Caenorhabditis elegans: one gene and its partner. The protein of the gene in region 2 purifies or fractionates together with the protein of the main gene of each other region. This does not show direct contact. Each region holds a gene or a part of one and is shown on either strand. Other genes may lie near its edges.

Region 1 (4,523 bases), 2.8 Mb from region 2:
GGTAATCTGTCAGAAGTAATCGCTCGACAACCTCATCTCGAAGCATCACAAGAATCTGCTGCAAGTCAAGAACAACGTGAAGAATCTCAAGAAATCGTGAAACTCAATGAAGAATTGAAAGAAAATATCTCAACGCTTCAAAGAGAAAATGCAGAAATCAGATCCGATTTAGAGCTGAAAACTCATGAACTTCAACTGGTCCGTGCTGATTTGAGACGAAGTAACACTCATAATGAACAAATGGACGAAATAATGAGGCAAAATGCAGAAGATGAGAATCAGAATTCGATTCACGTTGAGCTCACTCAAGCAGTTGGCAGAGTTCAGGATCTTCATGCCGAAAATGAAGCACTCAGAGAAGCTTTTAATAATTGCCGTCAACAATTGGAAGATGAACGAGCTGATAGAAGAGCAGAGGAAGAACGGAAAGATCTCGAAAGCAAACAGGAACAGCTGGAGTTGAAAGAAACCAAGGTTCCAGAAGAAGCTGAAAATCAGCAGTCTTCTAGAGAGCTTCATGAAGATCTATGGGCACGAAAAGAATTAGAGAAACGATTCGCTCGAGCAATGCTTCAGAATGCTGAACTCGTTGAGACAATTGATCGATTAGAGCACATCAACCAGCAGCTAGAACTCGAAAATGACACAATTGCTGATCACGTTGTTCTCTATCAGCATCAGAGAAAATTGGTTCGTGAAAGGCTTCGTGTAAAAGATGAACAATTGAAGGCTATGGAAGAGGACAGAACGAAAACTGTTGCACGATGCCAAGAACTGCAAAATGTGTTAATGACTGTACTTAACAAAGGTGGAGTATTAAAGGTAATTAATCTATGAAACTGTAATACCTACAAGCTAATTTTTAGGAATACCAGACAAGCTCAATCTCCCGAAAAGCAGCTCGCCGAGTTTCCCGAAGCTATAGCCATTCGACAGTTGATGAAATGAGCGGAGACGAAGATGTTTTGGTGGACGCCAAATTGGAAGAAGTTCCAGAGCGTGAAAAAGTACATGGTAATAGTGATGATGAGAAGATTCCAAGTACTCCACCACCAACTGTGTTGGAAGCTCAAAATAGTCCACGATTATCGGATTGTTCTGCTGACAAAGATAATAGTGATACTTTCGGGCAAACCCAAGATGCATCTGTTAGACGAATTTTGGAAATTATTTCTGATATCAGTGTAAGTAGAATATTCTTTGATTCATCGTTCCCAAATATATCTTTACAGAGACCCCAAATTCTACCCGCTGGACAACTCCACTGTACACAATGCATTGGAGATCTTCAAGAACTCTGAATAAAAATGTGCATAATGACTTTACTGTAAACTTTCTTTTAGCTTATAATGTGGGTACAACTTTTAGCTAATTATTATTCTTTATTGTTTCCAGTCCCCGTTTTTTTTGTAAATTTCGACTCTCCCGCTGACTTATTTAAATTATCGTTTTCATCCCCCAATCACTTCCTGTGTTCATTTGTGATATTTATAAGTGACAATTTTCTATTAATTTTATTGAAGTCCGATTAGTTGGTAAGCAAATGGTAATTATTATTTATTTTTTCGTTAATTATTCTTCTTGGGAATAAATGTAAAAACTTTAAAATGTAACTCTCCCCAGTGCTCTTTTATCGGGTTCAACTTGATTTTCCAGAAACTTATTTTGATTTTCAGAGACTTGCTTTTCAAATACAAAGAAACTACCAATAGTTGCTTATTCCAGATTTCAATAAAAAATGCGATTACCATGTGAAGTGGTTTTTGCACGTTATAAAGCAAATGCCGGAGTTAATCCAAAACCCACGAAATCGCAAAAAGGATTTGTTATTCTGCAAAAACTTCGACAGGTAATTTAAATTTTCATAAGTTAATATGTAACAAAACAAAAAAATATTTCCAGACCCCTCCACAATATCAGATAACAGTGGCCGTGGCCGGTGACAAAACTGGAAATAAATTCGAGCTCAACAAGCCGCCAATTATTCTCGACAAATTTATTGCTCAAGGAAAAACCACTATCACATTTCAAACAACTCCTGCTGTGATGGTTTGCATCAGTAAAGTACGTGTAAAGCATTTTTCAATATAAAAATAATAATTTTTATTGTTCAGGCGAATCCAGAAGCGTTGGCACAACTGATAGAAGCCATCAGAAAAATTGTCAAAGGAGAAAATGTGGATATTGAGAAAGTGAAGGTATTAAGCTTGACGGTGGAATTGAAAGAATTAAAATAAAATACTATTTCAGGTAAAAAGTTCCGACTTCAAACCAACTACCATCACGGTCAACAATCAGGCAACGTACAAAAAGCAAATGCAATCATGCTCCGAATTCCTGAAAACACTAAAAATTGAGCCTATCGATTTACGGAGACCTGATAAAGCCTGGAGATTCTGCCATAATCTCACCAGATTAACACTCAATGGAAATCCAATTGGAGCTCATAATAGAGATCTTGACGTGTTTAGCAAGCTGAAGCAATTACAGTCACTCGAGATGAGAAGCTGTTCCCTGGAGTTGATTCCTGTTCCAGCAATGTGTACGATGTTCCGAGAACTACCGACTTCTATCTCATTACTGGATTTTGGAGATAATCATCTTTCAGTACGGCTCCGAAAATAATTATTTTATAATCTTCAAATTTATATTTCAGATTTTCCCTCCAATCTTCCATCTGAAACAGCTCAAGATTATTAATGCTGCTCATAACGCAATAAAATATCTTCCATCACGTATTGGAGTTCTACAGAATCTAAATACAATAGATGTTAGCAACAATCTTATGACAGCTTTACCTTATGTATTCTCAAAAATTCCAAGTATCGAACATGTGGGAATTAATGCCAATGATCAAATGGTTAGATTGTGAGTTTTTTAATTTTTGTTGGAAATATTTAATTTTTAATGTTCAAGCTGCAAAATCGGACTTATGATTTTCCAAGTAAGAACAATTAAATTTTTCAATTAAAATTGTTTACCAAAAAACTGCAAAATATATTTTAAACACACTATTTTGCATATAAAGTCCCGAAAAAGTTTCGGCAATCGGCAAGTTTGACAATTAGCTAATTAGCCAAAATAAAAATTTCCGAAAAAATTTGTAACAATTAAAAAAAACAACTATATTTTTAGTAAATTGCAAAAAAAATTCATGTTTTAACGAAAAGAATAAAAAAATTTTAAATAGGTGAAATTCCAACAGAATAAAAACTAAAAAAAAATAATTAAAATCGACAAGTCGATGCAGCCTATTGCAACCGATTTTTATTTTAGAGAAGAAGAAATTGGACCAATTTTCATACGTCGCCTGCTTACAAAAGTTGATAATATCGAATACACACACGAGGGAGGTGTCGACAAATTGGGCACAATTGCTGCGAATGCTATTCATCGAGAAGAGTACGAGAAATTAAAACTTTAAGAAAAAAATCTTAAATTGAATTCATTTCAGATGCTCAAAATCGATGAAATTTGGACGTCAATTCCTTCCACTCTCACTTCGTTTCGATATGGATGATCTGATGTTTGAAAAACCAGGAATATCATCTCTCGAATTGTGTACAGGATGTGTCAGACTTCGGCATATTCGATATATTCGACCACTTATTATACAATCCAGACAAATTGCTAATTCTGTCGACGTGATCGGAAGATTTGTCACATTTGAGTTAGTTTTTTTTTTCAAAAAATTAAATTTAAAAAAGTTGACAAGTGGTTTTAATCATTTGTCCAAATAAATTTTTCAAAAATGTAATAAGTTTAATTAATTGCAGCCGTCTTCTCTGTATCGACTGTTACCGGAGAACAACTTCAACAAACAATGGAGAACCGCCGTTCCAATGTGATTACTTCCAATTTGCAGTCTAATTTTTCATTATTATCTCACCTTACTCATTTTTAAATATGTAAAAATTAACCCGATCTCAGAATGGGTAAAAAATTGTCCGATGCCTTAAATTTCGAATCTCTCACTTTTGAATCTTGAATCTCACCTTAAGAATAAAAGTTTCCAAGCCTTTTTCTGCTTTTAATTGTTCAATTTAATATTCTAATACTGTTATGTTCGCGAATTTCATATATCTTTTATTCACAAAGTTTTTTTTTCTCAATTTCTGAATTAATTCAGACAAAAAATGCATGGAGTCGACGAAGATGATTTGGAGAGGCAGCGAATCGAAAAAATCAAAGAAGTTCAAGAAGCAGTCGCCAAGTTGACGGGCGCCAAATTCCAAAAATTGGAGAATTTGCAACGAATGGAACGAATGCTTAACAAGGAAATTGAACTACTTCAAAATGTATTTTATAGATTTTATGATTTTTAAATTAAGAATTTTCAGGCTACACGAAAAGCTCTAGAAACTCATTTGGTCACATGTAACTACGCATTCTACAAATCAATAATCGATGAAGTTGAGGAAATGGAAAATGCGACGGCCGTACTGAAAACGTTCAAACGGGATAATGTATCGGTTACTGTAGATATTGTGATGAAAGAACCGAATGTTTGGGTTAGTATTATA
Region 2 (3,006 bases):
CAAACCGCAATAAAAAGTCCGTTCCAAGGTCTTCTCGTGGGGAACTGTCTTTCTGGGTTGAATAGCACATAAAATATAAGAAAAGGGAGGAGGACGATGTTGATAATGTACTCTCAGAAAAAGTTATGCAATAAAAATGATTTATGGGACTAGAGAAGGTCCATTGATATGATGACTTGGTGTTATGTAATTAGTAATCAAACATGCTTATTTATTATTAGCATATACTCATAAACGTTCCATATTACTCAATTTGAATTAGAGAAGCCTAATCCGGCTGGTAGCTACCTAAAATTCACGCAATCTTCACGCAATGTCTATTTGGGTGGCAGTGGGTGAACCGGGAAAGATTTATTTGATCTTACAACATTTACAGAATGTTTGAAGTTTGAAGTTAATGAAGAATGTTAGAAGTTTCAAAATTATGCGCGGAATTGTACCACTTTTCGTGATTTCAGTATATTCTTTGCTGAAGTTACCAATGGAACTGCACCGTGTGCCAGTTTCTATTCGTCTTTTTTTTTATAAGTTGAAGAAAACACCAGAATACAGTTCTTAAAATAATTTCAAAGGGTTTATTTTTCTTTGAGTTGTTTAAAACAAATGGCAATGGGAAAAAAGAGTTACAGAGTTCCTAAACATGGATCACAGGGCTTTTGGAACAAACAATAAAACATTTGTGGAAACATGACTAGTTGAACAATTAAGAGAGACTCAGAAACTGTCGAGGAGATAATCAAATGATTAGATTCAACCCGTGGAATTGGGCAAAAAAAAGTCAAAATGAAACCTCTAGTATGGAGAGCATGAAGATCGAGTTCTGATCGTTGGACGACGAGATTTTGGAGTGAAGATCACATTCACCGGAGACAGCTTGTTTGGAGACAACGAATTCTTCTTACGGGAAACTGCCATGAAGTCGGTCATCTTCTGCTGACGCTTTGTTGGGGTCTTCCGTGGAGTTGGTGGCTCTCTGAATTGCCACTTCTTCGGTTCCTCTTCATCTTCGAACGAGCTGTTGGGATCCATCAGCGAGGGCTCCTCCTTATCAGATGTGCTCGGAGAGCTCAATGGAGTCAAAGTCGTTGAGCTGATGTCCAGCGATGAGCATGTGGTTCTGACAGTGAGAACTTTGGTTCTGAAAAATGAAACTGTTTAGTAAAATAACTATGAAAAATTTATAAAATTCAATTACCTGTAGAACTCCGGAACACAATTCTCTGGAATAACTTCATAAACGAATCCAGCAGAGCTTGGGAGGGGAGTCTCCAGTTCAAAGTCGAATCCCCATTTCTGGCTTTCTTCCTGGCGCATGCGCTTAACAGCATCTTCAAGCCAAATTCGAGTCCTGGAGCGTTGCTCGGGCGTCGGACGACCGAAAAGGCAACGACGAGCAGAAGACATTTGAAAAGAGTGAGGAAACCTGGAATAATAATAGTTTACATAAGAATGCATATCAAAATCGCAGTAAGAAGAAGAAGATGAAGTAAAATCATAAGTAAAATTGTAAAAGATGTGACGATGCTCTCAAGCGAGACGCCCTCCCGTCAGGAACACACATACATTTGAATATATATCCATCGAGGGAATAGCGGAAAAGAGGGGAGATACACGCCTTCCACGAGAAGGGGTGGAGTCATATGCGCGGAGGCAAAGAGGGTGTAATAGAGGGGTACTGAGGTGGTGGCCCGGTCATCAAAGTGCCCGAGGTCAGCAGTCGGAGAAGAAGGGGAACGGACCAAACAAATATTCAATGCGCAACGACTGGTGGCACCGACTCGGACCACGAATGAACGGAGGGGGATCAGATTTCTTTTGGAATGCCGTACTTTTTTGTGCGGAACCGAAGTGGTCAGATGAGAAGCATAAACATTTCGGAAAGTTCTTAGTGACGAGAGATATCTGATTATAGAGACGCAGAGAGAAAAATTAGTGCTCCGTGATTATGAGGAAACAGATGACAGATTGCACTTTTGATGAGGGCACTCAGTCAGAGATCTAGACAGTGAGAAGCTTTCGTATTGAAATGCTCAGAACTATCAAGATTATGGTTTACGAGATGTATTAGAAAGGTGAAAGGTTTTGACTAGTGAAGTATGGAAAAATGTATTTTTTTCTAGAAGAGAAATTATAAACAAATTGGCTTGCTCATGTCTGTCTCACTCCTTCTGTCCACTACAATATGTGTCATTTTTGTAACAAAAACATTTCCCATCCGGTTCTTCTTTCTACTCTTTACTAAAGAGGCACCTTCGTGCTGGATGGTGGTACGACTATGACTAATTGGATAAATAAATAGAATACCGTTGTGTTGGATGGGAGGAATGTATATCAATAAGATGACTAGTCTAAGGTGTATAGTTGGATGGGTAACATGATAGGAAGAAGAAGCAGTGATAACAACAATAACAGCCGGAAAGCAATACGGTACATTTGGTGACAGTGAGGAGCTCTGTTCAAATAGGCGGTCTCGAGTACTAGATAGTTGACCCTACGATTGGTCAACAAATAATATATGTGAAAGAAGACTGTGTGTTGTTACTTGTGATTAGGAAAAGGAACAGACAGAGAGACGACTAAGTGACCGACATTTTTCAAAGAAAGTAAAAACACAGGTGGGTTCTATGATTCACACCAGTTCTGTCTAAGCTCTTTGAGCTCAACTCAATTTAAAGAATAGTTATGGAAATGAGGCCTAGTTTTAGTTAGATACCATACATTACAAAAAAGAGCCAATTTTTAAAAAAGAAAGAAATTATGAACTATCGTAATACTTTAGAAAAGTTTTAAATCCTAAAATAATTCAGAAAAAGTCTTGGCAATTTGTCATTAAGAACTACCAACCGGCTGCTCGATCTCAACTCTCAACGTTTTGCACCGAGAAACGAGCATCTGTCCGGCTGGTAGATAGGATATGTGTGCGCAGAAGGGATTGTAACGAAGAGTGGTGTGGTTAGCTGAAGGAAAAGAGCCAGATGTTCGAAACGTTGAGCCTCGACCAGCATA

What was found. The genes of interacting proteins can lie anywhere in the genome.
Region 1: the proteins of cki-1 (region 2) and lrr-1 purify together in Caenorhabditis elegans (affinity purification with western blotting; 2 studies listed by BioGRID). This does not show direct contact.

The regions. Positions count from the first base shown.
Region 1 is NC_003280.10:5,033,642-5,038,164, reverse strand, and holds lrr-1 (PIF1/LRR1 pleckstrin homology domain-containing protein), read left to right. Parts: upstream 1-1,725; 5' UTR 1,726-1,738; coding exon 1,739-1,849; intron 1,850-1,902; coding exon 1,903-2,064; intron 2,065-2,114; coding exon 2,115-2,198; intron 2,199-2,250; coding exon 2,251-2,607; intron 2,608-2,656; coding exon 2,657-2,868; intron 2,869-3,276; coding exon 3,277-3,402; intron 3,403-3,454; coding exon 3,455-3,670; intron 3,671-3,776; coding exon 3,777-3,870; 3' UTR 3,871-4,023; downstream 4,024-4,523. Other genes in the region: golg-2 (Golgin subfamily A conserved domain-containing protein), read left to right, coding at 1-822, 867-1,184, 1,233-1,301; F33G12.3 (DUF1308 domain-containing protein), read left to right, coding at 4,137-4,298, 4,341-4,511.
Region 2 is NC_003280.10:7,809,657-7,812,662, reverse strand, and holds cki-1 (Cyclin-dependent kinase inhibitor 1), read right to left. Parts: upstream 1,424-3,006; 5' UTR 1,405-1,423; coding exon 1,196-1,404; intron 1,139-1,195; coding exon 793-1,138; 3' UTR 558-792; downstream 1-557. UniProt on the Caenorhabditis elegans protein: Negative cell-cycle regulator that functions at the G1-to-S-phase transition. Required for suspension of the cell cycle in dauer larvae and starved L1 larvae.